Linked DNA regions of Oreochromis niloticus. The protein of the gene in region 2 interacts with the protein of the main gene of each other region in a pairwise test. Links are inferred from orthologs where the notes say so. Each region holds a gene or a part of one and is shown on either strand. Other genes may lie near its edges. The genes, in order: macroh2a1 and erich2.

Evidence for each region.
Region 1: the proteins of erich2 (region 2) and macroh2a1 interact in binary tests that used the Homo sapiens proteins (3 or more experiments, as listed by UniProt). The two-hybrid records come from large-scale screens. The link is inferred for Oreochromis niloticus from reciprocal best matches to the Homo sapiens genes ERICH2 and MACROH2A1.

The regions. Positions count from the first base shown.
Region 1 is NC_031975.2:23,505,283-23,521,418, forward strand, and holds the start of macroh2a1 (core histone macro-H2A.1), read right to left. Parts: upstream 8,173-16,136; 5' UTR 8,064-8,172; intron 1-8,063. Other genes in the region: faxdc2 (fatty acid hydroxylase domain-containing protein 2), read left to right, coding at 8,275-8,299, 8,408-8,446, 9,774-9,817, 11,456-11,553, 12,060-12,163, 12,895-13,016, 15,532-15,737. UniProt on the Homo sapiens protein: Variant histone H2A which replaces conventional H2A in a subset of nucleosomes where it represses transcription. Nucleosomes wrap and compact DNA into chromatin, limiting DNA accessibility to the cellular machineries which require DNA as a template.
Region 2 is NC_031982.2:8,032,292-8,048,567, reverse strand, and holds erich2 (glutamate-rich protein 2), read right to left. Parts: upstream 7,973-16,276; 5' UTR 7,778-7,972; exon of another isoform or gene 7,693-7,777; intron 6,917-7,692; 5' UTR 6,871-6,916; coding exon 6,840-6,870; intron 6,764-6,839; coding exon 6,633-6,763; intron 6,503-6,632; coding exon 6,445-6,502; intron 6,342-6,444; coding exon 6,270-6,341; intron 6,189-6,269; coding exon 6,064-6,188; 3' UTR 5,332-6,063; downstream 1-5,331. Other genes in the region: glutamate decarboxylase 1, read right to left, coding at 570-626, 2,549-2,624.

The DNA.
Region 1 (16,136 bases), on a different chromosome or scaffold from region 2:
ACTTGTACCAGAATGGTGGAAAGAGAAAAGCATGGGGAAGGAGAAAAACAGCTCTTGACCTGAAGCATATCACATCATCTGTCAAACATGGTGGATGCAATGTTATGGTATTGGCATGCATGGCTGCCAGTGGAACCAAGCATGTAGAGTTTATTGATGAGGAGATTTCTGTTAGAAGTAGCAGGACAATTGAATAATGGCCAAAGTCAGTCACCCAATAGAGTAGCTTTTTAGTTAATAAATACAAAAACTGTCACACTGTCACACCAACCCTCTGCATCCATGAATCTTCTCTGTGGTCTTCCTCTTTTCCATCCTTTGTCCAGTGTATCTACTATCCCTCCTCTGCACATGTCCAAACCACCTCAGCCCTGCCTCTCTAACTTTGTCTCCAAACTGCTCAACTTTGACTCCCAATGAAAACCTTAACTCTGCCATCTCCAGCTCAGCCTCCTGTGTTTTTGTCAGTGACACTGTCTCCAAACCATGAATCATAACAGGTCTCACTACTTTCTCTTTCCCTCTTGCTGCCATCCTTCTGTCACAAATCACCTCTGACACTCGTCTCCACCCACTCCACCCTGCCTGCACTCTCCTCTTCACCTGTCTGTCACCACTGCAAACAAGAAGGAGCTTAAAGCCGATCCCTGATGTAATCCTACCTCCACCCTGAACCCATCTGTTACTCCAATTGCACAATGTCTAGCCATCCTCATATATATCCTCCACCATCCTCACACACTTCTCTGGCATTGCTGGCGTCCTCATACAGTATCACATTTTCTCTCTTGGCACCCCACTATGTGCTTTCTTTATCCACAGACACAGTGCAGCTCCATCTTTATACTTCTCCACCAACACTCTCAAAGCAAACATCACATCTGTAGTGCTCTTTCTCTGCGTGAAGCCATACTGCTGCTTACTGATCATTAGCTCTTTCCCATATCTTCATGTTATGAGTCATCATACCATGCCATTCCTGCAGCTCTGCATATCACCTTTGCTTTTGCATATCTGTGCCAGTATGAATGAAAAGGGCTGTGATTGCAAAACAGTTAATGCAAACTTTTGTTAAACTTTTTTTTGTTCATTTCATGATATGAAAACACAACTGAGGCTTATACAGCTTACAATTTCAGCACAGTCCAGAGGCCTGTAGTAATTGTAGAGTAGTAAGTGGAGTAGTAGATGTAGTAGTAGTAGTAGTAGTAGTAGATGGAGTAGTAAGTGTAGAAAAAATATAGCGGTGATTTGCTACATATTTCAGTTGATGTACATGGACTTTTAACTGCATAATCCTAATGTGTATCTAAATATTACTTGCAGATATCCACTGGATTTTAGCATCACTGCTGCTCTAACCAGACGGGTGCGCAAAGCCCATGATGTGGTGCAGTGCTCAGCACAGTGCCGCAGAATGTTTGCTCACAGGATAGTCTGAGCTTCTGTCCGTACAGAGAGAAAAGATTAGCTCACTGGTCCGCTTTGTCAGAAATTTAAGCAGCAACAGAAGGAGGAGGCTCAGTTAATAGACTTATGGGCTTCATCATTTATCTCACTGTTGTCAGATTTCTGTCACTGTGATAGAATAGTATCTTTAATAGTTTAGCTTTTACACGTGAGACCTGAACCTGGCCCTGCTGTTCTCTCTGCAAGATGCTTAAGGTCACTGAGTGCATCAGAAAGGTCTTCTTCTTGGGTGCTGGTTTAACTCACTGCGTTGAGCAGGTGACCAAAAGATTAAAGACTAAAAAGGCCAAAAATGTGTTTCAAAAATAAAAGTTTTCTTCTTCTTTCCACTTAATCAGGCAGCTCATCACCTGAATTAAGGGGCGTAATTTCCAGGGGGGTTATGACCCCCCAATAATCAGACCCAACCAATATAACCCCCATTAAAATTATGAATTATCTTGCATTAATAGGCTGTTGATTCTTTGTTTCTTTACTCATTTCAGTTATTACCAGGAAAATAGTTGCATGTTTAATCATCTGGAATTTACCCAGATTTATTTATTTATTTAGACAGAGATCTTGACCCCCCCAATGTTCAGCACAAAGTTACACCGATGCCTGAATTACCACCACCGTCTATTGTAAGGGTAACCGAAGCATGCTGTGTGACAAATTTTGTTTTTCAGATTAGTTTTTACACTCCTAGACCAAAGATAAAACACGTGTCTTCAACATGTATGAGCTAAATCTTTGGTGCATCTCCTGGTGCTGAGAAAGTTATGCAGCTAATATGTAGGCAGAAGTCCTAAATAAAATATGGCATTTATTAAAGCATTAATACTCAAACGGTGGAACCCCACCACCACCCACGTGATCTGAATAAAATATTTAAGCTGCAGGAAAAGCATAGAAACAACTGTAAAAACAAACAGATAATGTCGCTGGCCACCCTTCATCCAAAGGTTTATCAGCTGTTTAGGTAAGTAGTTCGGTAGGTACCAGAATTCATCTAATACTTCATGACTGTTAAAAACTGTATATGTGCAAATCAAACCTGAAAAAAGGAGATTTAACACGAAAACAAACAAACCAAAAAAAAAAGCTGAAGGACATTCAAAGACAGTCAAGGCTGTGCAGGACTCACATCTGATAGATGTGTGCACCATACTGATGCAGTGCGCACAGTTTCTCACCAGAGGTCAGACCTGAGCTGTGTAGTAAGCTCGCCTCTGTTTGCATCTGGCATACAGAGAACTAAAGTTAGTATCAGTGTGAAAATACGCTGCAGGGACCGGATGAAATCGGACTAACTAGATCTCATTTAGTGCATAAAAACCTAAATCAGACTTAAGATGACTTTTACAACAAATCAATCGATCCATCAAATGTATAAGTCTGCTATGCAGCATTTACAGTGAAACTATTTTACCTAAACTTGTGATATATACTTCAGTTTTCTGATAAACCAATTAAGTTATTTATGTGTGTAATATAATAGAAAAGTACTGAGGATCATGTCTCCTCGTTCCTGTGATTCCCAACCAAAAGAAAGACTGAAATAACAGAAAACATAATATAATAACTAATATTATAATTTAAAAAACTGCACTGTAAATTTATTTTTATTAAATCATACAGAGTAAAACTCGCACACAAAATCAGATCCTATGGCTTGAATAAAATTTGGTCACACCATGATGGTGGGAGTAGAGTGAGTTGAAATTTGTCGCCCCCTCCTGGAGGGTCTGAGTCTGGATCTGAAAGTGTAGGCTGATAATACAAAGAAATAATAAATTAATTAAAAAATAAAATCTGCCAAGACTTTCATTCAGTTATGGCTAACTGATATCAACAGTAAAATAGTAAAAGAAAATATGTCAGCAGACTACACTGCTGATATAGCACAATCTGTCATGTAATACAGGAACGGCGTCGTCCAAAGGAAATAATGCAGTTGCCAATTTCATCAGTACAGGATATCATAAAATGTGTCATAAATGCATTAATTAAACAATTTAGAATCATAGCCAATAAAAGAATAAACAGCAATAAATCTACAGACTAGAGATGAGAGAAGCTCCTCTGAGATGTAAGAAGTGCATCACCTCTCTTTCCACATTTTCATATTATCCGCAAAAGTGTTTAAATCATATTTTTTACAGTGTGCCGATCGCCTGTTTCACAATGATTGGTGATAATAAACGAAGCCACATGTTGCTGACAAATCTGAAAGTCTTCTTGGTAAGGGAGTATTAAGTGATAACTGCACGAGAAGTTACAGCACGGAAAATAGGGAAAAGTGCATGCACGTGCATCCTGTAGGCATTCATATCATCTCTGTAAAGCTGCAGTGTTGTACATGGAAGTACAGCACTGTGAAAGAGTTTGACCACCCCTCATTTGTTCATATTTAGCTAGAAAATTTTAAAAGATTTAGAGATTTATTGAAATGAGTGCACACATACATGGAAATGCACATACAGAGAGCTTTGTAACGAGCTTGAAAGTGAATATTTAGTATGACCACCTTTATTGTTCGTCATCATCTGATGTTTCTTAGGCAGCTTTCTTGTCATTTCTTTATGTAGTATTTAGAAACAGTTCTCCCGGCATCTTAAAGGACATCCAAAGCTCTTCTTTAGATATTGGCTGCCTCGTGTTCTGTTCTCTATCAACTGCTTCAATAATGTTGAGGTCCGGGCTCTGGGGAGGCCAATCCATGACTGACAGCGTTCTGTTGTGTGTTTTTGGTTTTTCTGCACTGGCAGTGTTATGAAAGAAATCTACCAACATGGCTCTTTGGACTTAAATTGTGAGGAATAAATGTTTTAAACTGCAGAAAAAGCTCTGGTAGTTCATCGCCAGCCTACCCAGTAATTAAACAGAGCATTTTTGTTCATTCACAGAAAATGCTCAATTATTTATTTATTTATTTTACTTTGAAATCATTGTAAAAACCTGAAATTTATAAGTAATTGTTTATCTATTTCATAATTACTTTGGTGTTGTGTGAATGATCACGTGGGAGATCTTTATCAGTAGCAAAAGCTGTAAAACTTATGAAAATACAGTTAAAGGTCTAAAGTTTATGCCGTCCATCACATTTTCCAAAGCCGTCCAGTGGGCCAGATTGGAGAAGCTTACTGTTGTACCTTTTTCCCAACCTCCTCCGTACATGTTGATGTGTTGATCCAAAAATGTTACATTTTGATTCATCACACCATCAGACCTGCTGCCACTGATTTTCAGTCTGGCTCTTGTGTAATTTGGCATACCTCAGCCTTTTCTCACTGTTTCCTTTTCTTAAAAATGGCTTCTTGACAGCCACCCTCCCACTTAGACCACTTCTGGTCTACTGAGGCTTCATTGTAGATTTAGATGGATCAACTGAAGGGTCAGCTGCATCTCTCAGATCATATTTAAGACCTTTGAAGGATTTTTTTCCCCCATTTTCTAAGAATGTGACTTTCAGATACTGTTTATTTACTGCAGATAGTTTTTTAGGCCTCCACAGTTTCAGCTAATAGTTGTTTGGAAATCACCCTATTGGTACAAAAACTCTATTTTATTCCTGTCAAACTGTGTTACTGTTGGCATTTTCCATAGATTCAACTAAAGAAAGTAAGACCAAATTATATAGTAACAAAATGTCTAAAGATGAAATTTAACCCTTTCACGCAGATTGGTCACTACACTGGACAGCTATTCAAAGGCTGTTGTCTTGTATTTGTGACAGTGTTGATGGTATACTTGCACATAAACCACTACATTGGACGCTGATGTGTCACTCCATACCCTGCCATGTTTAAAAACAAATGAAGTTCAAAATGCACATACAAGTTCAAAAATCTTATTTTTCATGCCTAAAGATGAATAAAAATACTGAAGAAAAAAATCCTGAATGAGGTTGTCATAATTCATGCATGAAAGGGTTAAGATGGGTTCTTGACTAATTTGTTTTTTTTCAGCAATAAGTCTTAAAAAACACTCTGTTATAAGGATTGGATTGAAAAAGCAGCCAATGTCCACAGAAACCTTTGAAAGACCTTCAAAACACCAGAAAACCAAACTATTGCTCCACAACTTTTTTACAAACTACAAGTAAGTTTGGCTCCTTGGACTCAAACTATAAAGGAATGAAAGGTGGCTAAAGACTGTTGCCCAGAACTGTACTTCCAAACTGAAGGTTGGACTTTAGATAACAATGATTAGATAACAATATACTTTGCCTTTAGGATATTTTACTATAAATAGAAGAAACAAAAGTGATAGTTACAGGTACTGTCTGTACAAAGCCTTACTTGTTATCTGTGCATTATAGCTTTATTGTTGTTCAGGCGAGGGGTGGAGCAAAGGTACGACCACAGCCACCACAGACTAATGTCTGCCCCTCTGACCATTTCACACAACCAATGGTGAAGCCCATTAGGATCAGCAACTTACATGAACCCCCCCAAAACTTTTTTTCTTTTTCTTTATAGTGTTTTGCAGAACCATCCCTCCATATACTTCGTATATGGATACATTTTAACAGCACACCCACTTTTTTAAATTACAACTATGCACTTTCACCATGCACTGCCATGTTCCTCCTTTGCCATGATCACTGTAGTTTATTTGGGGTCAGTACTCTGAGCTCCACATTCACAGTTAAAATAAAAGTATTCACTGTTAACTCTTGTTTTTATCTGTAAGTTGTAAAAATAAGCGAGAGCTAATTTCCCTGAGGTGGTTTTTACTGCAGGGAATGCTAGGAGCACAATGTGTACAGCATACAGACCCACAGTGTAATACAGCATTTTCAGATATACCACTAGCCTATTAGGAGATGCTTTCTACAGTAAAACACAGCAGTATCACATATGCATATATGTAATATTTATGCACCATTCATTCAAATAGGCTTTTGACGTACAGATCTTCAGACACATTTTCCTAAAGTCTTGTTTCTTTGGAAATTTAAGCATCTCCACGAGAATGTCAACTGGAACTGCGTGCTGGCGCGGTTAGGAGAGGGCATGGCTCTGAATGAATAAAGAGTTCAAGATTTTAATTCAGTTTGAAAGCACAGCTGAAAGAGTTCCAGGTCTGCGTTCACTGAGCTGTGTGAGAGTGAACGTGGCTGCACTGGTTTTAAATGGTTGGAATTTTCTTGCATTAGTGAAATGTTTGGTTTTTTATGCTTTTTTTTAATCATGTGCTCCCATGCCCCTGTAGTTTCTCAGTCATCTGGGTCATGGTCGTCTATAGAGCTCGAACTAAGAAGACAAGTGGAAGAAGAATATGTGCTCTTGAATCTACACTTTTAGTTATTTTATTTTTTGTTGAAAGCTAATTGCCAGCCTATTCATTAAAAGCTCTTTTCTGGATCTTGACTGCTGTTTGTTCTGTTCTCTGTTAAGATGATCTCACTGTTCAGGTTAACGTTCAGGTCTGGGCTCTGGGGAGGCCAATCCATGACTGTTAGTGTCCCAGTGTGTGTTTTTCTATCCAGGTATGCTTTTACTCTACTGGACGTGTGCACTGCAGGCTATGGTGAAAATTGAAGCTGTTGCCAGTCAGATGCTTTCCAGATGGTGTTGCATGTTGGTTTAAAATCTGGGCTTCAGTGACCAGAAGATAGATCAAATGAAGTTCCAGATGCATCTCTCAGGTCCTGTGGGCTTTGAGCTTTTCCTGTTTCTTAAGGACATGACTTTCAGATATTGTTCATTTGCTGTAAATAGTTTTTGGAGGCTTGCCATTTCTTTTTTTGTCCTCTATTCTTTCAGTTTCCTTGTTTTGAGGACACATCGCACACCATGCTGAAATATGCATTGTGTGCGTATATTATTGTAGCGTTTCAGCTAATAATTGTTTGGGAATAACCACTTGTAGAAATATATTTTAGGGCTGTTAAACTGTGTTCTTTGGCATTTTTGCAGATTTAACTGAGGAAATTAGAATAAATAATGTGTTTTATGACAAGCTGCTAATAATAAAGTGCACAAAGATACCATTTAAAATCGGTTCTTTGCTAAGTTGTCTGATATGTGTAGACACAACATTGATTCATCCCTTGAGTTAGCTGCCTTTGCTATGTTTGAATCATTTGTAGGTCAGTGTTAAGTGTTTATCAAGCAAAAACCAGTTCTCTGAAATTAGTCAGGTACAAGAACTGGACAGAACAGGAGTGAAAATGAGCCAGAATCCAGAGACAAACGCTGAAAGAAATCCCAGAGAACTATTGCTAAAGACCACGTTAAGAAATGACAAGACAATCTGGCTCATTAGAAGCAAAATATAAGGATATAAATATAAATGATTCATGTTTTCCTGCTTTCCCTGCTACAATTGGTTTCTGCTTTGAAACTTCACTCTGCAAGTAGACACGACTGCACTGAGAAGCTTCAACAAAGAGAAAGGATCCTGCAGCGAACAGTTATGATCATTAATGATTAATCTGGTCGTTGGTTTCTATATTTCTCAGCGAATCTAAATGAAAAACGATTTCCTAAAGACTAAAATTTTATGGTGTAGAACAAAGTACGAAAATAAAATATCCAAGCAAATCTGACAGCGTTATTCACTTAATGAGACAGCTATCTAATGCATTGGATCACAGCACTGACCGGCCTCCGCTGTGGTTTCAACCTTCACCTGGATCTCACGTGGACCGCAGGAAAAAAACACACCGAGCAGGAAGGAGTCTCGTTTTCCGGGCTTGGGTCAGCTGACCGGGAGTCAGCCAGTGAGAAGTCGCTGGCTGTTGTAAATAAACTGCTTCTTTCCAGAGCTGCTGAACAGCAGCGGCCGGTGCGGGACTGTGAGCAGCGGGCAGACATGTCGGTGGAGACAGCAGCCAGCGGTAAGTCAGCGCAGATTTGAAACGCAAACATAGCGTCAGATCGGGTTTGATCAGCGTGAAAACGCTATTAGTAAAACTGAGCACAGCTGTCTTTTTCCTCACCTGTAGGCCCAGTGATGCAAAAACAAAGGCACCTGGTGCGTTCAGGTACACGCAGTTCAGCTCGCAATATATAAACTCTGTATAACACTCCTGTAAGGTGCACAGTTGAGCACCAGTTCAGCTAAATTAACGATTTATTTTAATATTTCTTATTAGGATTACATGCCTGTTAGTTTTGGTTAGATAATGGCGTTATAATAATAATATAGGTCAACATAATTTGCACGTAAATTATAGATATTCAGGCTCACCAGCAACCGCTAATAAAAACAGATATATTTAAGTCATTCTCCAATTATTACAATAGCCATTAAGCCAAACCTTAATAGCCATTTGACGTCTCTAGCTTGATTTATGACATAAAAAGACAGCTGGGCACAGATAAACAGAGTGCCGAGCAGAATTCAAGTTACTAAGTCAACATCAACATCCAGACTATAAATTAAAGAATATAAGATAAGTACTTGTTAAATTTGCAGCTTGATTTTCCCAGTAATGTTACGGACCAGCTCTAACATTCCTGTTCCCGATTGGGTTGTTACTCAGTTCTTCCACGTGTTTTCAATCGTTCTCATAAACTGATTATTGTTTAATTATTTTTTTTAGAAAGGTTCTCAAACCTCTAACATTTTCTGTTTTTTGTACGACCTTGTGAAAATTAATAGGTTGTTTTGCACTGCTGGACAAAAACTGTGATTTAAAAAAAAAGTATGTGAATGATTGTTGTGAAAATAATTATTAGTTGGATGGATGTTTGTGCTTTTTCTTTTACACCTTTACTGCAAAAAGAGAGGGGCCGAGTGTATGTAGGGCAGCCTGATCCCCAAGAATTTCACTAAAAACGTCCACACTCTAATAATAGGATTGTATTTAATCCTCCTGTGGTACAAATTTGCACATGCACTCAGATGATTACTCTGCAATGGAAATATACAAAGAAGTTTGAGACAAAAATGTAAAAGTTTTTTGAGAAATGACAACATTTCAAAGAGAAACTTAATGTCTTAAATGTAATTACAAAAATATAATAAAAAAAAATAAATCTCCTGTTATCAAAGACTCCTATTTTGAAGGACAGCTGGAGTTAGCCCACTTTAATTTTCCAATAAACTTTATTGCTCTGTAATTAGTTATTTTGAGATGGTACACCTCCTTATGATTTTTTGCTTTCAGAATCATAGTTTGATTTTTTTTATTTTAAAATGCGCTTTACTGGCAATTCCTGATAGATGATAGTGCCTTACAATAAGCGCCTTGAGGTATCTGTTGTTGTGATTTGGCACTATGTAAATAAAACTGAATTGAAACCGAATTAGATATTTGCTGTAGCATCTACATGTTTTAATTCTTGTATGTAATTTTGTGTTTGCAGGTGCGAGGGAAGCTGGGGGAAGCAGAGGAAGCAGCGGCCGACAGGTAAGAACAGGTCGTCCTTGCAGCCAAACACCTTGCTGTTATCATCATTCAACTGAAAAGATTCACAAACGGACAAGACGGCAACACAATACAGCGAGTCATCGACAACGCAAGCACAGCCCTCGATCTGTTATACATTACATGAGGTTTTTTCCTCTTAGCTGTCTGATGTGAATTGCTGGATTACTGCTCATCTGTTTTTGGGGAGGAGGTTGTTATGTGTATGTTATGTAATCTTGCCAAACAACTGCAGATACTTTGATGCGTGCAAAGCTTCAAATGAAACCTGTCTCATGTTGCCCTACATATCTCTACATTTCCTTTTTTTTTATGCAGCCCGGGGGGCCGAAGCACACACAGAAGCTGATGTTTGGCAAATCCTTTTAAAAAAAATCAAATCTGTGAATCTCTCAACTGTCCTGTGGGCTAAATGCAAGTCAAATTTTAGCTTATTCTGTTAGTTTTCTGCATGCACTACTTGTTCCTGCATATTTTTCTAAATCACGTCTTTAAAGGTTGAATTTTCATTTTTATAGCTGCGGTCTGATGTGTCTAATTAGGAATCTTTCCATCTGACTGCTGTTTTTAAACCGTGACTCCACTGAGACTTGCCCTCTTTGCTGTATGTTGTTGACAACAGGCTTGACCTGATAGACAAGTTCCTTTTTTTTCCTTTTTTTAAAAAAAAAACTATAGAGGCAGTAAATAGACAAAAGCAAATAATGGATTGTGTGTATGATCGTGAGAAAAGGAGTGTTTTAATCAGTGAAGCAGTAGAGACGGGTTTTGTTGTCACGTGGAGCAGAAAAGCAAAATGAGAGTGTAGCTCACAGGGAAATGATAGCTTAGTAACTCAATTTTCAGAAAAAATATATGGGTAATAAATGTAGTAAGCAAAAATGTCCCAATAAATGCACAAGGAAGCATCGGTGTATTTGCATCTTCATGATCATGATTGCATCTCTAAAAACGACCAGCTGAGGCGTGAGACCAGCACGGCATTTGTGTGACATTGTTCTCTCTGTTGTCGTGGCTTGGATGGGGGCAGCTGAGGTGAAAAGCTGGCATTTTAGAGAGTCTAGTGAATGTGACATCAATCCTTGGGCTTATTTCCTGCTGAGTGAACTGATCTGCGTTTCTCAATGCAGATGCATTTTGTTGGAGTCAGCGTGCACATTTTCTGTGTAAACGGCTACATTTAGACCTTTCTAAACAGGTGTCAAATACTGTTATCCTTTTAACTGAGATGCTCTATATGATGATTGAAAATGCACTATAAATGTGGGCTGTAATTACCTAAGTAATAAATGAATAATGCCACACAGTATTTTAAAATACACAGAGAGAGTTTTCAGTCTTACTGTTTCCCCTCCTGCTGCTTTGCATTCTGGGTTATTAACTTCAGGCAGTTCCTGAAAACCCCACACTCAACAGGAACCACTCAGATCCACAGTGTTCTCATCCTCCTGGGCAGATAGAGGTTTCAGTAACAGTCTCGCTGTTGTTTTTGAGACATTTCTGTACCATGAGAGGTTTCTGTGGGGAAATGCTAATATAGCGAAACATCATGAGATTGCATTCTCATCGCCGAAGCAACAGAGGGCTTCACACAACGCTGTTTCTTTTTCTGTCTCCCAGGAGGGCCCCGGAGGACTGTGGGACTCTGTGAAGAAAGCCGGGTTTGTCATCGGATCTGGGATCTTATTCTTGGCTGCGTTCGGGAACTCACTGACATGGTATGTCACATCAGCAAAACAACAGTTTGCCCTGACATAAACTGGAGGAGTGGCATTGCCAGGTTGTTACGTTATGCAGAGTAGAAAGAGGCAAGCGCTACAGAACAAGGAGTCGGACCCAACAGATGAGAACTGGATAGGAGGAGTGATGCAGAGCCAGGACTGGATAGACGAGGACAGGACCGTACATGTCAGGCTGGTAAAGGGTGTAAACAGAGCACAGCATTACATGAAATTAAAAATGACATCACCTGAAATTATGTAATATGTACAAGTATTTCAGATTGGAGTCTTTGCTGGGCTAGTTGTAGCTGCAGGGTCTCATGTTTGACACACTCTTGGTAGTTAGATTTTTGTTTGGAGGGTTTCATATGGGCTGCCGGAAAGGAGAGAGCATGCAAGTACAAGATGTGTAGACAACTGTGTAACGAATAGTTTCCACAGAGGTTTGTTTAACATGTAATCAGTTTTGTGAATTTAAAACTGAGCTGTAATTCCTTCTTCAGGCACCTTCAGAGATTCTGGGGAGCTTCAGGAGATTTTTGGCAGAACTTGTGGACCAAGTTGTACGTGGCATACGAGGGCCATGATGCTTCTTTGTTCTTCCTGGGTAAGAAATAAAACCCAAGTGCAACATTGCAAATGACTGTGGATGGTTAAAGGTGTTTCATAACATTGTTTATGGTCATCCCAAGTACTGCAGACTGCGTTAAACATGCAAATAACTTAAATGACCTCCTTTTGTATCATATTATTTAGGTGGTTTCATCGATGTATAGATTTTTTTTTCTACATTTTGGACTTATGGTTTTGCACAATAGGTGGTTTCCCTCATTCAGATGTTATCTAGAGTATGTAGGACATAGGATGCGTGCTAGGTAGGGTTTGTATTTTCAGTTCAGTGTTTTCAGACCACATAACATCACACTATAATAATAATGAAAAAAGACCAGCCACTCACTAAATACTATCAAAGCTAAAAACTCAACACACACCATGCATGAATTGATTCCCTGGAGAATATGTGAGTATCTGAGACAAAATGTCCAATTTTGCTCATAATCTCAACGAATCATTCCAAAAATTTCCAGATCCAGAGGCGGATCGACTCCAAAAGTTAATCACTCCTCAGCATGCTGGAGCAACACCTTCGGTGATATTTTCATGCAAACAAACAAAAACAGCAAGGTGCACAGTGATGATGTCATTGTGGAAAATTTTGCCGTGGATTTAACTTGAAATCTTCTCCTTATGTGTTTGGAGTTGTGCGTAAATGAACGCATAATGAAGGCCCCGGTTGAGTTAAAGGTTCTCTAATAGTTATCTTATTTATCTCCATAGGGACCATGCTTGCTCCCACTCTGGCCTTCTGGGGGTCAAATGCTCTCCTGCTGTGGGTGGACATCACTGGTACACCCTCCTTCATCACCCGCTACCGTATCCAGTTGGACAAGAACAACCCAGTAAGCTCCAGATTTGTTTTAGATTTTGTTTTATCTGCACTGACACTTGTTTTGTTTTTTTATGCCGTCGACATAAAATGTACAAGCTTCATTTTTTGTATTTTATGATCACATCATATCTTTTTTTAAGTGAATGTGAGATTTAAAAAAAACAAGTACATTTTAATTTTCTGTCCTGCTATTGGGCATGCTGCTGTAGGCCGCTGCTCTACTTAAAGATCCACACAATGCGTGTGTGTGCAGATGTGGTTGATAACATCTGCAAACGAGGGGGCCCTCAGTGCTCTCCACATGCCCGTCTGACCAAAGTCCTCTAACTGTGTTTGATTAACAGATGTTGTCGGACACCGCGGAGATAAAGAGGGGCATTACTGATAACCAGGGGTTACTGTGAAAAGTGTCCTTGTTAGTGATTGTTTTTCCAGTGCACAAACTGGAAACTCACTTTACCCAAGCCAAAAGACTTCCAGTCTGTTGTTTTTGCCCTATTTTCTCTAATTTTCCCATCAGCGAGTGTGTTATCGCTTCAGAAATCACTCCTCCTCTGATTTGCATGTACTCAGTGGAATTTGCCGCTGTTACAGCTTAAGATAAATTTCCGCGGTCCTTAAATTTTATATCTTTAATGATGAGGTAATCTGCGAAAAGCTGCTGTCACAGTGTTTCTCTGTGACTCCGAGCAGAAATACTGCGGGTCAATGATCGAGAATAGCTGTCTGAACTTGGGATCTACTGATCATAAACAAACCAGGATGTGCTATAATGGAACAAGATTATATATTAGTTAAAAGTGCTTGTGTACTTTAAAAAGCAATATAACTGTCTCGTTAAGAATGATAAAATTATATTACTTTATCAAGCAATATAACTGTTTATCTAAATTATCTGATCAATGTGTCAGAGCCCATGTAGTGATCACACATTTGCTTTAGAAACGGCTAAATAACAAGTGCATGTCACTGGTGACTGAGAAGAGCTGTAAATTTGAATGTATAGTCACACCATTTCTAAGTGTAGAAACATTTATTTATGTTAAAATTAGCATTTTGTGGAGCTATTTACACTGGATGTGCCATCTTCAGATGTAACATAGAGATAAAAATCAATGTCATCTACTGTAGATAAACAGAGCTAATTCACCATAATAGTTTTCTTAAGGCACTTTATACTATAATGTAAACACTGTATAGATTATAGGGAACCAATGTTTCCCTTGGCAACAGTGGGGAGAAAAAAAGGCCTTTCTAACAGGAAGAAAGCCACAGTCGTGGAGCTATCTGCTGCAGCTGGTTCAAGTAAAGGGAAGAAGATATCAACTAAATGAACATTGAGAGAGAAAACAAAGAGCATTCGATAAAGAGTCTGCACAGAAACTAAGTCTGCTGTTCGGAGAGTGCGCCTGCGTGTGTGTGTGTGTGCCTGCGTGTGTGCCTGCGTGTGTGTGTTATGGAAAACACACAGATGTACAAAAGTTCAGTGTAAACTTCAGAGACGCACTGTTCTCACACTCTGGAAAGTTCATTATGACATGGCATGAGTTTATAACTGGGTTCCAAAGGTTGGAGGTAAAAGGGTTAATTAGCTGATACGGATATCCACTCAATGACCACTTTATTAGGTACATCTTGCTAGTACTGGGTTGGACCCCAACAGAAAGGCCTTAATTCTTCATGACAACAATTCAACAACGTGCTAGAAGCAGTCCACAGATATTTTGGTCCATGTTGACATGATTGCATCACTCATGCACATCCATGATGAAAATCTCATGTTCAATCACATATCCAAAGCTGTTTTATAGGATTTTTAAGATTATTATTAAGATCTGGTGTGGAGGCCATTTGTGATGTGTGCGTTATCCTGCTGGACGCAGCCACTGGAAGACTGGTACAGGGTGGCCATAAAGGGATGGGCATAGTTGGCAACAATACTTATCTTGCTGAATTGGTACCGAGGCACTCTAAACATGCTGAGAAAATGTCGCCTAGGGCTTTACACCAACACCACCAGCCTGAACCGTTGATACAAGGCGGGATGAATCCATGCTTTCATGCTGTTTACACTGAATTCTGACCCTTCCATCTGCACATTTCTGTAGAAATTCATACCAGGCAGTGCTGCTCAATGGATATTTTCTCTTTTTCACACATTCTCTGGAAACCCTAGAGATGGTCATGTGGGAAAATTCCAGTAGATTGAATATGGCATAAAGTGTTTCAAAAGCTGCCAAAGTCACTTCAGTCGCCTTTCTTCCTCTTTCTGAGACTGAACTTCTGCAGATCATCTTAACCATGGATAAATGTCTAAATGCACTGAGGCGCTTTCATGTGATTGGCTGATTAGATAACTGCATTAATGTGGTTGGACGGGTGTACCTGCAGCATAAACAGAAACAACAGTATGGAAAAGGATAAGACATGAAATAAGAATATATATCGGAAGCTTGGTAGTTTGAATCGTTTTGAGATCGTGTCTAGTTTTGACGCCTCTTTTGACCTCTCCATTTGTCCTCCAGGTGGATCCAGCTAAGCTGCGCCAAGCCTTGAAGTGTGTCCTCTTCAACCACGTGGTAATCTCCGGGGCCATGACGGTGGTCGTTTACTACCTGATGAGCTGGAGAGGAAACCCCTGTGGCCCCGAGCTGCCCACCTTTCACTGGGCCCTGATGGAGCTGGCCGCCTTCTCCATCTTGGAGGAGATTCTCTTCTACTATTCACACAGGTAAAGAACATTTATTTTTTACTTTAAACACCCATGACACATCAAAATGAAACATGCAATCAGTGGATCGTTGGCAGTAGATGACATTTCTTCCTCATTTCAGAGATGGCGGTGATTGTGATGTTAACAGTACGCTGATCTCTGCGTTTCTTTCACGTGCATGCAGCATGCAGTCACTCTCTTTTATAGCTATATATGTTTTAATTCACCATAACAGGACATGGACATTAGGTGCGATCTGTATAAACATTGCTTGTAGACTAACCCTACATAAAGCAATGCAACCTGCAACAATGTCTATCAGCGTTAATCAGATTTTTCTTATGTAAGCTCAGAGCCTTTGCCAGCGCATAGCACAAACCTTGACGCAGGATAGGGTGCGGTCGTTTGATGTGTTCA
Region 2 (16,276 bases):
ACTGTAAAAAAAAGAAAAAAGAAAAAAAAAGGGGCTATTAGAGACACTGACAGTAAGCCTGAGAAAAGTGACTCAAAAAATAATCGGATGTGATAGGAAAAGCAAATCGTTACGAGTTATTTTAAGGCTTGTTCTGCTTTCTGTTTCCAGGCTTGTCCCGGAGATTTTTCTCTTGGTGCTGAAATGGGAAAGACAGGGGAGGGTGCAAGGAGGGGCGGGGGGGCTGATCCGGGGCTCTCCTCAGCAGACCTACAGGCTAATGTCCAGTGACCTTTGGAAGATGGAAACGCACACTGACAGTGTGGAGGACGGCCCCGCTCTATCAACCTGTAATGTGGCCTATATTTCTGAGGGCCTCGAAATGAGTAAGATCATAATAAAGCGCAAAAGAAAATGTGAGACGGTCAGAAGGAAAGAAAGAAGGAAACCAGTCACAACGGAATTCAATATTGAGAGCCATGGTATGTCAAAAAAAATCTTTTTTAAATTTTTTTTTTATTTCTTTATTTCATTTTCTTAAATAACATCTACAAGATTAAACCATTTTTTCGTGGCGAAACAAAACTTACCGCAAATCTTCATCCCCAGTTTCCTTGTGCATCCGTGCATCCACGCGTATTCGTTGGCTAAAACAAAATGAACGTTTGAGTTTCTGAGCGTGGAGACCGCGAGCAAATGTGGTGAGGCGGATGATGGAGCACAGCGAGCACATGGAACAAAAAATAAATAAATGAAAGCGTGAAGGAGCGACTCTTGGCCAGGTGTGCGACTGTGGGGTGTTTGGGTATATTCATATTTTCTGTAAAGAATTACACTGACTGTTTGGCTTTGTTGAACACGGATTTAGCCTCCTTACACTCCCTTTGATCACAAGGGGGGATGAGTCTGCTAACACTTCCGATTTGAGTTCAATCAATAGGGACCGACAGTGACCCGCACGGCAAATCCACGCCGGCTCACACACCCAGCCAAAGGGCGGACTGGAATTAACACCCGTGAAATGAGCTCACGGAGGAGGGCAGAAATTAATTGAGTGGATCACAGTATGTGAGTGGAGCGAGCTGGTAATGTCTCTGGTCTGGAAGTCTACAGCAGGCGCTTGAAGCACAAACTTGGAGCGTAGTGCGTCGATGTACACACACACACACACACACACACACACACACACACACATGCATGCATATACACTTAGTGCCACACACACGCACACACAAACCAGAGCGTGGACACGCGTGAGCTGAGATGGAGCAGAAAGCCTGAGGGAACAAGATGCAGAGCGCACGGCGCAAAAAGTGAGAAGCGACGAGGCGAATGTACCTGATGGAGAACTTGCAAAAACAAAACAAAACAAAAAACAACAACAAGTATTTAAATTTACTGAAGCAATTTCATCCCGACAAAGAACAGCCCTTGGTGCGGAGGCCGAGGCATAAACACACACATACACGGTAACACACACAGACCCTCGCGCACGCAAAGCCGCCAGGCGTGAGATGGAGCGTGGCAGAGAGATAATGGCAACATCCAGCAGCAGCAGCAGCAGCAGCAGTACACGAGCAAGCAGACAAAACAAACATCCTTTTTTAAAAGGACTTTTTCTTGGTTCGAATTTTCATTAAAGAAATTTTTCTTTATATGTTTATTGGCACTCAAGGGCCACAGATAAAAGATTTCGAAATTTTGTATCCGGTAACGAGGAAGGGAAAATAAAGCATGTATTTGCACACTGGACAAAAGGAGCTGCAGGCTATCCCTGTAACGTTTTTCTGAAACAAAACAAAACAAAACTGCAATTATTTCCCTGCTTTGGACTGCAGATGGCTGCTCAAGTGTGCTCTAATGGAGTCAATTTTGTGTATGCGACAAAAGCTCGACGTGATTAATTAACCCACAGGTTAATGCACAGGTTTAGATTTTTCTTTTTCTTTTTTTAAAAAGGGATGCGAATAAAAAAGCATGCCTAAACAAATTACTACAGACAATTCTTATATCAATTTTTTTTTTTTTTTTTTGCTGTATATCAAGACGAAAGGCGCACAGGATCAAATATTCAAATCTTTGTGTTTTTATTTTTCGGTTGAAACTCATATTTTGAAATAGAACACGTTCAGGAAAAACGCTCTGGGATCGTTAGAATTGCCAGCGCTCTAATGGCGCATTATTTCTGCCAGGTCCGCCGCTCTGCGCGCACCGCTGATCCGCCAGACAGCGACAGGCAGCTGTGATGGCTCTGTTTTTAACCGGAATGATTAACGACGGAGCCCGCACAGCAAATGGCCCGGGCTACACTCTCCTTTATCAGACAGGGAAGGAGGGGAGAGAGACAGAGAGGGAGAGAGAGAAGCAGACAGAGGCGCGTGGAGGGTGAACCTGGGTTTAAACCGCTGTGCTGGCGATAGATCGAGCTGCAGAAGTGTCTTTGAGCAAGGCACCGAGTGGCTTTCACCACAGCCCGAGCGCTCTGGAGACTGACAACCTTAAACACAATTTAGCCTCGGGGGGCCGAAGCCAAAGTGTTGTTAACAGGGAGAGGAGTTTGGGGACCTACTTGTGGTCGGAGGTCTTAAATTAGCTGAGTTGGGGTCTTGGTCCCCGCCGGCAGCTCTCGGCTCAGACGTAGCCATCAGTCCTCTGTTACTTTGGTTTCCAGGTGCGGGAATTATTCAGCTGCAAACAAAACGACTCAGTGTTAGGAGAGGCTGTGTGTCAGATTTACGATAATTGCGTGCCGTTTAAATGGCAGGCCGAGATTTTGATCAGAAAACGATGCTCCGTCCGTCACCGGGAGCGCTTCATTCTCCCTTTAAACGGCTGAAGCCGCGCAATTTGGAGTGAGTTGCGCACAACGCGCTACCAAGACGCACATCGCAATACTTTGGGGGATAAAATGGCTGCATGGGTATCGGTTTTATTTAGAGACACTCTTCGGATTGTGTTGCATCCAGTCAGCTGTTAACTACCCCAGCGCTGCTGCATGACACAGGTTTACAGAAAATGGGCCACAGATTTACAGATTTGTTTTTTTTTTTGTTTTGTTTTTTTTTTTAAGTTGGGAACTAGCAAAAGAAACATGGCTCGTTCTTGCACTAAGTTCCTATGGATCATTAAAACCAAATCATCGTTTAATTTAAAAAGAAAAATCTGTTTTTTTATATAACAGCTGACATTTTAAACGATCAAAACCAAAATATTAAAGAAAGAACACGTAAGGCCCGCGTTTCACATCGTATAAAATCACCGAGATGATCAGAAAATCAGAATAAAACGAATGCATTAAAAATGATACTTCACAGACAGCAAATATTGATAAAATGAGGTGACAGTGTCCACATAAATAACCGTTCCCCATTCATGTGTTGACTCAGTAATCGACATTTCAATTAAGATATGCTTTGAACACCACCCTTACTACAATGTCATCACGAGACAGAGAGGCAGCGAGAGAGCGAGAGAAAGAGAGAGAGGCTGAACAACTAATAAATTCGTTCTGTCTCCCGTCTGGGAATGATTTATGTGAGAATTCTATCATTATTGTTATTATTATTGTTTAGTTTTTGCTCTCACATTTTGTCCTCCAAAGCTGATCTCACGATATCAGCGGCTGAAAAGTGGAGTGGTTTAAGCATCTTCCCCCCAACCTCTGTCTCTGAAGAAACAGACACGAAGGGTGCAGCTGGAGAAGGAAAGAAGAAGGGATCTTACCGGCTCACGGGGCGCACAGGTTGTCGAGTCCAGACAAAGTACAACTTAAATGTTACAACTGCCACCCGAAGGCGCGACAAGAAACAGTCCAGTGGTGGCGATGGCGGAATATCAACAGAGCGCACTGATAAAATCCCATCCGGCGGCGCGCAAGTGACCCTTTCTCACTCAAGAATATTTTTATTCGTTATTTATATCTGAGGATCCGGCTGCCCATTGGTCTCTTCACGCAGGCATGAGTCACAGCCTTGCCTCCCACCCTGACGGCTAATGAAGCTTCCTTGAGTGCTACTGACAGCTACAATCCACTTTAAGGAACCAAACAAGCAAAAGGAAAAATACCGATGACGTTTACCCGCCCCTGTGTGCGTGTATGTGTGTGTGGGCGAGCTCTTGTGTCTCCAGGTGTGGGTGGGTGTCACAGGGATGAGGGTGGAGACTTGAATGTAAATTTGGTTACATAGAAATTGACCTTGGAAGGAAACTGCACAGCTGGGCTTTTAAATACCAACAGATACATATTCAGAACATCCGGCCCATCTCCTCATATCTGTTGATTGATTGGGTTTTGGGGACCTGTGGAAGCTGTTAGGCCATTTATTCCAGAATAGACACATTTATTATAAAGTGAGCAGGACAAGCCATCCAGGAGCCATCCATCCATGCAAGCACTGTCTGTAATATTCACCTTCATGAGATGAAAACATTGCCTACATCATAATTTCTGACCTACTCACTGCTTTAACCTCGCCACGGACAATAACGCCGAGACTTCGAAGCACGGCGGGCGCTGGCTTAGTGTCCTTTCTGTCATCCTCACGCCTGCCTCTGGATCCAGTGCATGGGCAGGGACCAGCCGTTATGTTCATTCAGCCGCTGCAATTTATTCAGCCTTTATCAGGAGCCAATCATATCTTTCTCCACTCACAAGTGACATGTGGAGATGCATAAAGATAAACTCAGACTGATGGCCTTCAACAAGGAGGCTTAGCTGCTGGGATTTACATCTGCACTAAAACAGGGCACATAAAAGGTCTTCACTGCTTATGAGTTTACATAGGCTAACATTTTATTTGTGCTAATTTAATTGCCACCATAACAAAAGACTGGATAGTGGACCAGATGGACTGCAGAATCAGTTTTTTTGTTTGGGTCACATTACAGCTCTCATCCACAGTGAAAAGTGAAAAATAAAACAAGTAAGAAATGATGGCTTTGGTCTCTCTTGTTTCATGCACAAATCTGTGACATTTACATACTCCTTATATACCACATCTTTTCCCTGTCATGCAGCACCGCTTATCATCTTCACACAGAGAGAGCTGATGTTTAAAGAATCCTGAAATCAAAGCCATGAGAGGATTCAGCAAACATGGTGGTAGACGTGTAAACTTCCAGGGAAAAAAGTGCTGTTTTTTTTTTTTGTTGAATTTCATGCAATCTGAATGATGATATATAAACATGTTTTTGTATGACGGTGACAATTTAAAAATCAGTTTAGGTAATGTTTCAACATAACTGCTAGAGTCAGCATCAAAGGGGTTACAAGCTGGATGCAGAGTGGCCAGATTGCTGCTAGGAGACCAATAGTTGGAGACTGCTGATGAGACTTTAAGTGATGATCAAACATAACCGCTTAGAAGATTTTTGACTGTTAAATATCTGTTATATTAACAAGAATGAGGAACATGAATGCAGCATTTACATATCATCACATCTATAGGCCGAAACTCTTCAGCTGCTTCTTTGTGTTGAGCAGTTAGCAGCTAACTGTATGTGCTGTGTGTTCCTAGTGTTCAGTTTTGGCATGTCTGGTCATAAAACTGCAGGGTTGTATTTTCCGATGCATTTTTACCATCAGTTCGAATGGGTTAAGGTATTTTGCATTTAATCACATAATCATTCTCAAAATGGATATGACACTGATCAAGTAGATTCATTTACAGTCTCTTCTGCAGGTTAACCTGCAACCGGAGGTTTATCGGATTTATCAGGAAGCGTGTGTGGTTTGCCCGTATATTTTCACGGGTGATCTATCAGCGATTTATCAGTTCACGTTTTCAGGAAATGAGGGCATCCGCTCAGTCCACAGGAGCTACTTTATTTCCAGGTGAAAATATGAGAGAATATGTAACTGTCACTGTGTCTACACTGAAAAGACTGCGACTGTGGGCAGCGGCAGTGTGCCTTAAAATAAACACAATATATGTAACATAGTCCCTGCTAGACAGGTCGAACAGCTTTAAGGGTAAATATGAGCAGGAGGGCATGGCTTGTGTCTGCTAAAATAGTTTTCCTTTTCATAATCATCATCATGATCATCATCAGTACTATCAGTCAATCAATCAATCAATCAATCAATCAATCATCTGAGGCTGAAGAAGAGGAGCAAGATGAGCTATGAGAGGAGTCCTCATCACTTCCGGAATCAATGTCATCCTCCTCCTCATCACTTTCTTCCTCGTTGCTTCTCTCTGCGTCTTGCTCTGATGGAAAAATCAAACAACACCTTCGATGTTTAGTCTGTAACATGCAGCCTAAAGTGTTTGTACAAAGACAACTGTCACCTTCCAGCAGCTTCTTCTGGATCAATGGGAGGAACTCTGAGGCCTCAGGATTGTCTGGCTCGTAGATGAGAACTGGAGCGAGGAGAGAAGAGGTAGCATTGACTAACTTGGCGGCTCGCTCACTTATTCATTGACCGACAGACAGACGTATAGCAAACAGGTGCAGGATACGTACTCATGTGACAGAGTTTAACAGCCAGCTTGAAGTATTTGTCCTTCAGAGCTCTGAGGAACTGAAAGTTAACATTTTCACTTTAAAGTTGAAGCAAAAAACATTTCAGACATTTGAAACATGCAAAGAAAAAAGCACTCTGTGGACAGAGCATGAAGTGTGGATAAGCTGGACCAGTTGCATTACTGTACCTTCATTAAAAGCCCCACTGGAGCCTTAAGGTCTTCACACTTCGCATTCTCTTCCTCAGTCTGTGCTTTGTCCTCTTTAGCTTTATACATGAGGAGAGGTTCAGCTGGTGTGTGAGCATCTGTCGGTCCCCCTGACAATCATCACCATAATCACTTTGTAATGTTATTTCTTTTGCCTTTGTGCTTTGCATTTTATCCTGTACCCACCTGTTCCTTTTGTGCCTGAGGACTTTAACATCTCCGTGCCTTTCTTTTCCAGCTGCTCCACAGGTGCCCAGCCAATCCTGAAATCACAGGTGATCTGTGTCAGAACTGTATCAGAGGCATATCTCATTGGTCTGATCACTGGCTGGAAGAATTTCGATATTGTGTGGCTCTAGGGGTGGGCCACACACAAACTCAAAGAGCAGCTCAACATTATAAAACAATATGAATGCAGAGAACAAGTCTAAGTAAAGACCAAATGCTGTCCAGAATAAAGGGCAACATTTACATATAGATGCTCATTTTCCATGGGTCTGTGTTGGTACTCGTTCAGGTACTGTATACACTGCAACAGCAATGAAAGAATTAATTTCCCGTCATCTTCACTGGGTGTAAATTCCCTTCACCATATCCCATAGTTGCAGTCTAATCACTTATTTTATGTGTTCTCTGACTGAGAGCAGAAACACCTCTTATCGTGTACAACTGTACATAAATGAATAATAATGTTTGTTTTTGTTGCCCAAAACAAGACATATATAGCAGCCTTTGAGAGTCTTGCTGTTTACGGTCTCCTTATAATAACTACCAGATGAGCGTTTTAATGTGATTAGTCAGGAACTACCGTTTTTGTCATCTCACAAAATTAGAAAATGAGATACTGATGACAAGCAGAAGAACACATGAAGCTAATGTTGTCATTAAAATCTTTTCACCATCCGGTTTGCAAGTTGCTTTAGCAGAAAGCAACATCCAGGTGAAGACACAATAAAAATACTAATTATTATTATTATACAGCTTCTTAATAGGATGTGTAGGGCAGTGAAAAGACAAAGTTGAAAAATGTGTGACTCACTTAGAGCAACGAGTGTCCTGCCCAACAACTGCATAGAGTGAGCAGCCTGTGAACAACAGGTCTGCAGTTCACAGAAACAGCATACCTGTAGCTAGTAGAACCAGACCGTCACGGACACCTGCTGTTGCACAAGTTGTTTATCTGATCGTTCAAAGTTCAAAGGGCTTTAAGTCTGAGGTCCTATTCTGGGAATTTCTGACAGTTTCTTGCAGTGAAACTTGAAGGTTGTAACTTTCCTTTAGCTGTCGGAGAAGGAGGTAAGCAGCCGTTACTAAGCAACGGAGAAACGCACAGTCGTGGCCTTCAATGTTGCCGGAAATTTGGCCATTACATCAGAGACATGCCAAGCAATGATTTGAAATCTATGAAATGAATGAATGAATGAATGAATAGCACTCAAGCAAAGATTTATTATTATTTCTTTAACATTTAGCTGCTGATGCGTATTATTTATTCTATTTTGTATAGTATGTTAATCTGTTTTATCTCATTCTATTCTATTGTTTTTCTTAATTTTTGCTGCTCTTAACTTTGTACTCCCACTTTCTGACCAAAAAATTTCCAACGTGTGGGACTAATAAAGGCTTATCTTATCTTATCTTATCTTATCTTATCTTATCTTATCTTATGGAAGCAATGGTCCTGGGAACGTTTGGAATTAAAGTTAATTTAGATATAAAGTTAAAAAAAAGAAAAGAAGAAATGAGTGCCTATAGGTGTTTCATGGTGACTGCTGTCTTGTGAGACTGCTTTTGGGGGAGATGCAGTATCAAAATGAAAATAAATAAGTTAAATAATAATAATAATAACATTGCAAAATTCCTTAGTGTTTCTTTTTCCTCAGTGAATATAATTTTAAAATATGGGTTTGTAACACTAACAAATCATTTCATGTAAACATTCTTAGCCCACAGACTGCACACACACAGAGTTACGTTCCTGAGAGCCTTGTTTTTTAGTTGTTACCCGTTGTTGTTACCCTTCTGTCTTTTCCCTTACATTAATCAAAAGATTTACACAGTAAATGAAGTTCTACAAATTCAACAGGATAAAAAAAATGAAACACTTGATACTCTGAAAAGGTGATTACATACCCTTATGTGTCTACCCCAAAACTCAGCACACGTCCACAGTGGACAATCTGGTGCATCCCATTATTTTTAAGTGAGCCCAGAGTATGGAGACCAAGCCAACTTGTGACTATTATGATAGTTTTTTTGCAAATCAGAGAATTTGCTTAATTTCAGTGTATGGAGTCATTAATTCAGTTTAATTTTTTATAATGGTTCATCAAATGCTTGCATGCTATATTCCTATAAAGATATCCGGCTATTATACCCTCAACTTTCTACAATTTTGCAAACGTACAAAATAAAGCAGAGACTAAGAATGCATTTGCATGTTTACAGTTTCTGAGCTCATATATTCAAGGGTTTGAAGGGTTCTCTCACAGCCCTTGAGAGACTGCCTCTGTCCACCCTCCATCTCAGCCATATTTCATTCAATAAGTAGCTGTAACCGCCACATTAGCTGCGCATACATCGAAAGAGCTGCCCTCTGTCATGAATGTGTGTGTCGGTGAGTGTGTGAGAGAATGTGAAGACGCAACAAGGTATTGTGTGTGTGTGTGTGTGTTTAATAGATTGAGGTCTCCTTTGCTCTTGGCTGCATTGTTTCACGGTTGTCTTAAAATCGCAGCGAGATATGGACTGTCAGACTGACAGGCTCCAGACTCAGACATCCCACAGAGCCTAAATTAGCACATGATTGGCAGGACTGTTCATTTTCTCCTAGAGTCTGAAGTGCTGTTTCGAGAAAGGTAAGGTTAGCTTGGAGTGTTAAATGCATATTTTGCTCTTCATCTCCTACACACACTCACTTGGTGTCATACACACACATAAAACTATATATCAATTAGGCAGGGTCATGAAGTTTCTTACACTGAGCACTCCCTTGGGGCCGTCTCGTGCACGCTGACATGCCATTGAAGCGTGTGCATGTGTGCTTTCAGTGTAGACTTTGTGGGCTTTTATTAAAGTGGAGAGTAGGAATCCAGGAATCTTGCAGGCAGGATTCCTGTTCTTATGGTATTATAGTATACTTCCCTTAGGCAGTATCATTAGAAAGCACAGTATAAATTTTCACTGCTATGCAGAAGATACCTGACTTTATCTATCCATGCAGCCAGATAACACACAGTTAGTTAAATGCAGGAATGTCTTAAAGACACAAAGACTTGGATGACCTCTAATTTTCTGCTTCAAAATTCAAATCTATTGTCTGTAACCCGAGACTTACTCTGGATGGCATGACTGTGGCCTCCAGTAACACTGCGAGGAATTGTGGAGCCTTTTTAACCAGGATATGACTTTAAACAAATATGTTGGAATCTTTCTTGCATTTGCACAATATCTCTGAAATGACAAACCTCCAGTCTCAGAGTGAGGCTGAAAAACGAGTTTATACATTTATTATCTTTTGGCTGGGCTATTAAATATGATTACATAATTATATAATTATTTTATAATTATATAGAAACTCTCTGAAAAGACTTCAGCTGATCCAAAATGCTGCAGTGAGAGCACTGACAAGGACCATGAAGAGAAAGCATTTTTCTGCCATGTTGGCTTTTCTTCATTGCATACATTCAAGGGTTTGAAGGGTTAAATCCAAAATCAAATTTAAACTCCTTCTCCTCACATACAAGGTCCTGAATAATCAGACCCCATCTTATCTTAAAGACCTCACAGCATGTAATCACCCACATGAAACACTTGGCTCTCAGACGAATGGGAGGCAAAGCCTTCAGATTTCAGGCTCCTCTTTGTGGAACCAGCTCCCGGTTTGGAGTCGGGATGCAGACACCCTCTCTACTTTTAAGGATTAGGCTTAAAGCGTTTTTTCCTTGATAACTCTTATAGTTATAGTGGATCAGGTGAATCCTCCTTCAGTTATGCTGTAATCGACTCAGAGTGCTGGGAGCTTCCTATGATGCACCGAGTGTTTTTTCTTCACTCACCTCTTTTTCACTCACTTATGTTTATAAACCAATTTTCAGTTAATCATTTGTAATTTTGACTTTAAACTCTGACTCTCTCCCACATGTGTCTTTTGCCCTGTCTCCCTCCCCTCACCCTCAACCGGTTGTAGCCGATGGCTACCTGAGTCTGGTTCTTCCGCACATGACTTCCTCTTAAAAGGTGTTTACCTTCCCACTGTTGCAAAGTCCTTACTCAAAGGGCAATTGTTAAAATTCCCAACAATTGCACAACCTGTAAGGTTTGTACCTTACAATATAAAAGGTGACTTGGCACTATAACTGAATTGAATTGAACTGCACTGAACTGAATTCAACAGTGGAAGAAACAAAGCAGATAAATGCGGGGAACCTCTGTAGAGCCTACAACCTAACTTTTGTAAGTCGTCGACATCATTGCGGGCTTTTTTGTGCTTGTGCATGATGTGTGTCCCAATGTTTTACATGTGATGACAGGATTTTTTCCCCTCCTGGGTTCCCACACTTGTTGTTTTCAGTTTGTTTGTTTTTTCAAAGACAAACAGGTTTGTCATTCCAGTTTTTCCACTTCTTTGCACATTCTGATAGTTTCATAAACTTCCCTGGAGGAATTTCCTAAGATTTGTGAGTCCTTTTTTAGGTGCTATGATTATTATTCTTGATGACTGTTATTCTCTCACTGATGATTCAAAAACTGCAGCAAATAGCAGCTGGAAATGCACAGGAGGACTAAGAGTACTGAACAGGCCAAACACAATAGTTGCAGGCTGCACTGACATGACATTTCGAGGGAGGTGTACACCAGGTTACATCTGAGGATTCTGCAATAGTATCATAAATCCTGAGTTATGGGTAAGTCCAAAATCGCCCGTAGACATAAAGATCACGGGAGTGTGTTCAAAGACTACAGGCCCCAAGAACTCCCGTTTACTTAGCAGTGTTACTTTAAATGTGTGTCTGTACAGTTTTGGGCTCTGTGCATTCCCCCTTCCCCACACCTCAGCTCTGAGTTGGGAAAAAGATTTTTTTTATAACTCATCCATATTGAAAATTTGTTTTGTGGCCATGGTGATTGAGAGACATCATAATAGGAGTCTGCTAAGCCTCATCCACTACTTTTAGTAGTCATTAAACTGGACCTCTTCACAGTATTTGTAGGAGTTTGTTGTGTTTTCCAGCTCTGCTGGAGTTGTTTTAATGGATTGTGTGACCAATATTACAGCTTGCTGTGGGCCACAGCCCATCCAAGAGACTTGTGCTTCTGTTTTAGTGAGTGACATTCTGGTGTTTATTTATCACTCGGTTACTTAGCACTAATTGCCTTAAATGCGTGCCTGTGCATTGTACTTTTACTGTTTATGAACATGGCTTGCTAACAAAGCTAGCTAGCTGATAAATTAGCACGTCACCCTTTCATCCGTACAAGCTAACTTCTGGCTTCAAAAAAAAAAAAAAAAATGCTAATGCTGAGCCAGTGGTTGAGGGTTTACACAGACTGTGGTAAAAACAAAATCATGCCCTACACATACTGTCGACCCCGAACAGTACAGAAATGCTTACTGCACCCCTCGACAAGGGTCAAGGCTTTGGGATTTTCCTGTTATTTGTCATTAGCAGATAGAAGCATACTCAATTTGGGCTGAAATGTGCGCAAAATGCTATATATTTTAAGCCTGATGATTTTCCCATTTAATATGGGAGAGCCTCTGTTATTCCAAAGTAAAATAAAGATCCAACAGAATCCAAAGACCCCAGATACATTGAGCTCAGAAGAAATATTTGGAGTATTTTGGAGTGGGAGTTTCTCGGTGTCAAATGACAAAGGCTGAACTCGAGCTACTAATGCTCGTTTGAACGTGCACCGCTTCAACTCTTCTTGCCCAATAACAGATGGAGACAGAAACTAAATGCACACCCCAAAACACACCAGCACCACAAGCCCATCAGGCACACCTGCCATGGAAGCTTGATGGGAAAATATATTCCACACAGACGACATGATAACAGAATCATTTCACACTTCACTGATCACCTGCACATTCCCATTGCGTGCATGAGTATGAGTGTGTGTGTGTGAAAGAGAGCGCAGGCGAGGGCCTTCAGTAGGGTGCAGCCTGGTTGTACTCGGTGCATGCGCCTTGACAGACTCTCTGCTCCTCCCAAATTTCCATATGATGAGGTTGTCGTGACAGTGAAAGAATACACAGCTCGAGAACGTGTCATATTCCTCCAGGACATCACAATGTGTAATGTGGAGCATGTATTTGTGTGATGGAACACGCAGTCCCTGCTGTAGCTTTATTAACAGAGATTAGCATTAACAAAACAAAGCAACATCATGCCGTCATAAACAGTCTCTCTGCGGTGTGGGTTTGTATGTATATGTGCCACACTCATGCTCATGTTACCGTGTCCTCGTGTTTATGAAGCATCTGTGCAGGTCTGTCAGTGTGATGTGGCGTGTGACGATCCACCATCACGTCTCACGGCCTCGAGCAGACTGAAGGCTAATAATAAATGCAAATTACAATCACAGGAGCAGCTCGGAGCTGGAGAGGATAATTGCTCCATTATGGCGCTGTGCGTCTGAGGATGTGTGTGTGTCGGAGGGACAGAGGGGGAGCCACCAAATACCAGTTGTGACATCACAAACAGACTACATAACAGGACAAGTGAGGTGATACAAGTATTGATTTATTTGCTGGGAAAAAAAAACATCCACTTTTCCAGTGAGAGTGCCAAGTCAGGCTAATTAAAGTGTGATATAATCACAAATCAACATAAAGAAAGAAAGATCTAGATCACACGCAAGTCCTGTTTAGCACATGAAGCTAAAAATAGTTTGTTACTGCATGTGCCTTTCTCGGTTACAATAGATGCAATGATCAGGAATAACATTATGACCACTGACAAGTTAAGTGAATGACACTCATTATCTCCTCATCGTGGCAGCTGTTAGTGGGTGGGATATATTAAGAAGTGAATATTTTGTCTTTTAAAAGCTGATGTGTCAGAAGCCTAAGGATCTGTCTGCAGCGGTCAGTATCTATGAAAAGCAAGTCAGAGGAAGGAACAGTGGTGAACCAGGGTCATTGTTGGCCAAGGCTCATTGATGCATGTGGGGACCGAATGCTGGCCTGTGTTGTCCAATCTAACAGACGAGCTACTGTATCACTGCATACTGATTTAATTTTGCTTGTACATCATGTGCAAGGTGTGTGTGTCCCTTACCTGGAGAACACCTGGCACCAGGATGCACTATGGGAAGAAGGCAAGCCAGCAGACACAGTATGATGCTTTGGGCAATGTTCTGCTGGGAAATTTTGGGTCCTGCCTTCCATGTGGATGTTTCTTTGACATGTGCCACCTACCTAAGCATTGTTGGTGCACCCTTTCATGGAAACAGTATCCCCTGATGGCTGTGGCTAACGGCAAAAATGGTTCAGGAATAGTTTACGGAGCACAACAAGGAGTTTGAGGTGTTGACTTGGCCTCTGATCCATGGAGGCTCCACCTCACAACTTACAGGACTTAAAGCATCTGTTGCTAACATCTTGGTGCCAGATACGATAGCACAGTTTCAAGGTTCTGGTGGAGTCCATGCCTCAATAGTTAAGGGCTGTTTTGGCAGCAGAAGGGGGACCAACACAATAAAAGGCAGGTGGTCATGAAGTTGTGCCTGATTGCTCTGACTTCTTTTTTTCTTTCTTTCTTTCTAGGGTCACCCATCGAAAACATAAAGATGATTTTAGATGGAAACTGAGATGTTCACACCTGTTTGAAGACTTTACACAGAGCTATGGTAATTCCTGACAGATTAGGTTTTGAGTTTACTGAGAACACATAAGAGTGACAACAAACTTCCATATACCTCGTTTTTTTTCCTGCTTATCCAATTACGAGTGTGCTGGAGTCCATCCAGCCTGTCACAGGGCGAAACGCAGGTCGCAGGACTAACACAAGCATTCCCACTCATATTCACACCTACAGCTATTTTAGAATAACCAATTAACCTAACATGTGTCTTTGGAGTCATCGTGCCTGGAAAATAACATAGTAACAATCTTCTCACTGAAATAAAGGCAAAAGAGCAAACAAGGACAAAAACAACATAAAACATGTTGATCAGCTAATTCTGTTCAATATGTGTTTCCTAGAACGTCCTACAACATCATTAAAGGGCAGAAAATAAGGAAAAACATAATAGGTCTAAATTAAGCAATTAGATACCATTTGATAACTAAAACTGCATTAGAAGCGTACATAAGGGATCGAAACTAGAAGTACATTATCTAAGATTTGTGACAGTTTTGAAAAAGGAGTATCTCATTTTTATTTATTTTCAGGTTCATTTCCTTCCTCCAATTTCCAGGAAAGTGTCTTCATAGCATTCTCTTCTTTAACCTCCTTCACTTTATGTGGCATTTGCGAACAGTCATAAGTGACACATCACTTTATTGCGCTGTTAAATCGCTCTCTTGTTTGTGCCATGGTAAGATGTGCCAAGGGGAGGTGGGTGTTACAGCTAATATTATTATTATTATTACACGTGTTTTACATTTAATGTGAAATCTCTTTAAAAGGATGGCTACAGCCTCCGGGTGCCTCACTGTGTCTGTATATCATCATCGTAATCATCATCTCTGACTTCCTAAGCGGATCTTTTACTTACTCTTTCCATTTTTCTGCCCCACATCTCACTGATGGACCGGGCCCATCTGTCTCTCTTTTAGCCCATTCATCATTTCCTCTCTCATCAACTCTGTATTTCTTCATTTTCTTTCCCTTTTCCATCTTTGTCTCTCACTCACTCATCCCCGTTTCAAGGGTTGTTTTTTTTTACTCCCCCCTCCTCTTCCTTCCGTTCCATCCATCTGCCTCCCACTTTTGCCTATGCAGTCGTTTTCTTGCTTCATTTTCAACCTCTTGTCCATCCGCTTGTGCAGCACTGAGCCTTCAGTATGGGCTCATTCGATAAAAGAATTAACTCATGTGGAATTACAGGGATTATTTTACATAACCATCATCTTATCATTGCATTAATTATCATTTCATTAAAGTGTTTATTGAAGTTGCTGGCATTATGTTATAATTTATATTATAGGGGTTATCATAATCAAATATTAACATGTTTATTACAGGTGCAGTATAACTACTTTAAAAGGATTGAGTTAAATATATATATATCATAACTCATATGCTGAGTATATTGTTACAGTAAAATAGTAGCTGAGCAAAGGCCTGAATGTATTCAGCTTCTTGTGGTATTTGAGTTTGCTTAGTTACAGGTGACGGAAGGATGTCCAGTCCATGGTGACCTCAAAGGCCTTAGGTCATCACTATATTCGGAAGAGTATGCCACAAGGAGGAACCTCTATGTTGCAGTTAATTCTTAAAATACATGAATGTTCTGTACATGCAAATTATGTGCTTGTAAACGCAAGAAGGGGCGTTACAATACCCTGATGTTATAAAAGCAATCTAGAGTGTATTTTGGGTAGAGATGTACAACTGTTTTGCAGTTTGCACCTCTCCACGCTGCGTGCATTCATTAAAATCAATTGTTTG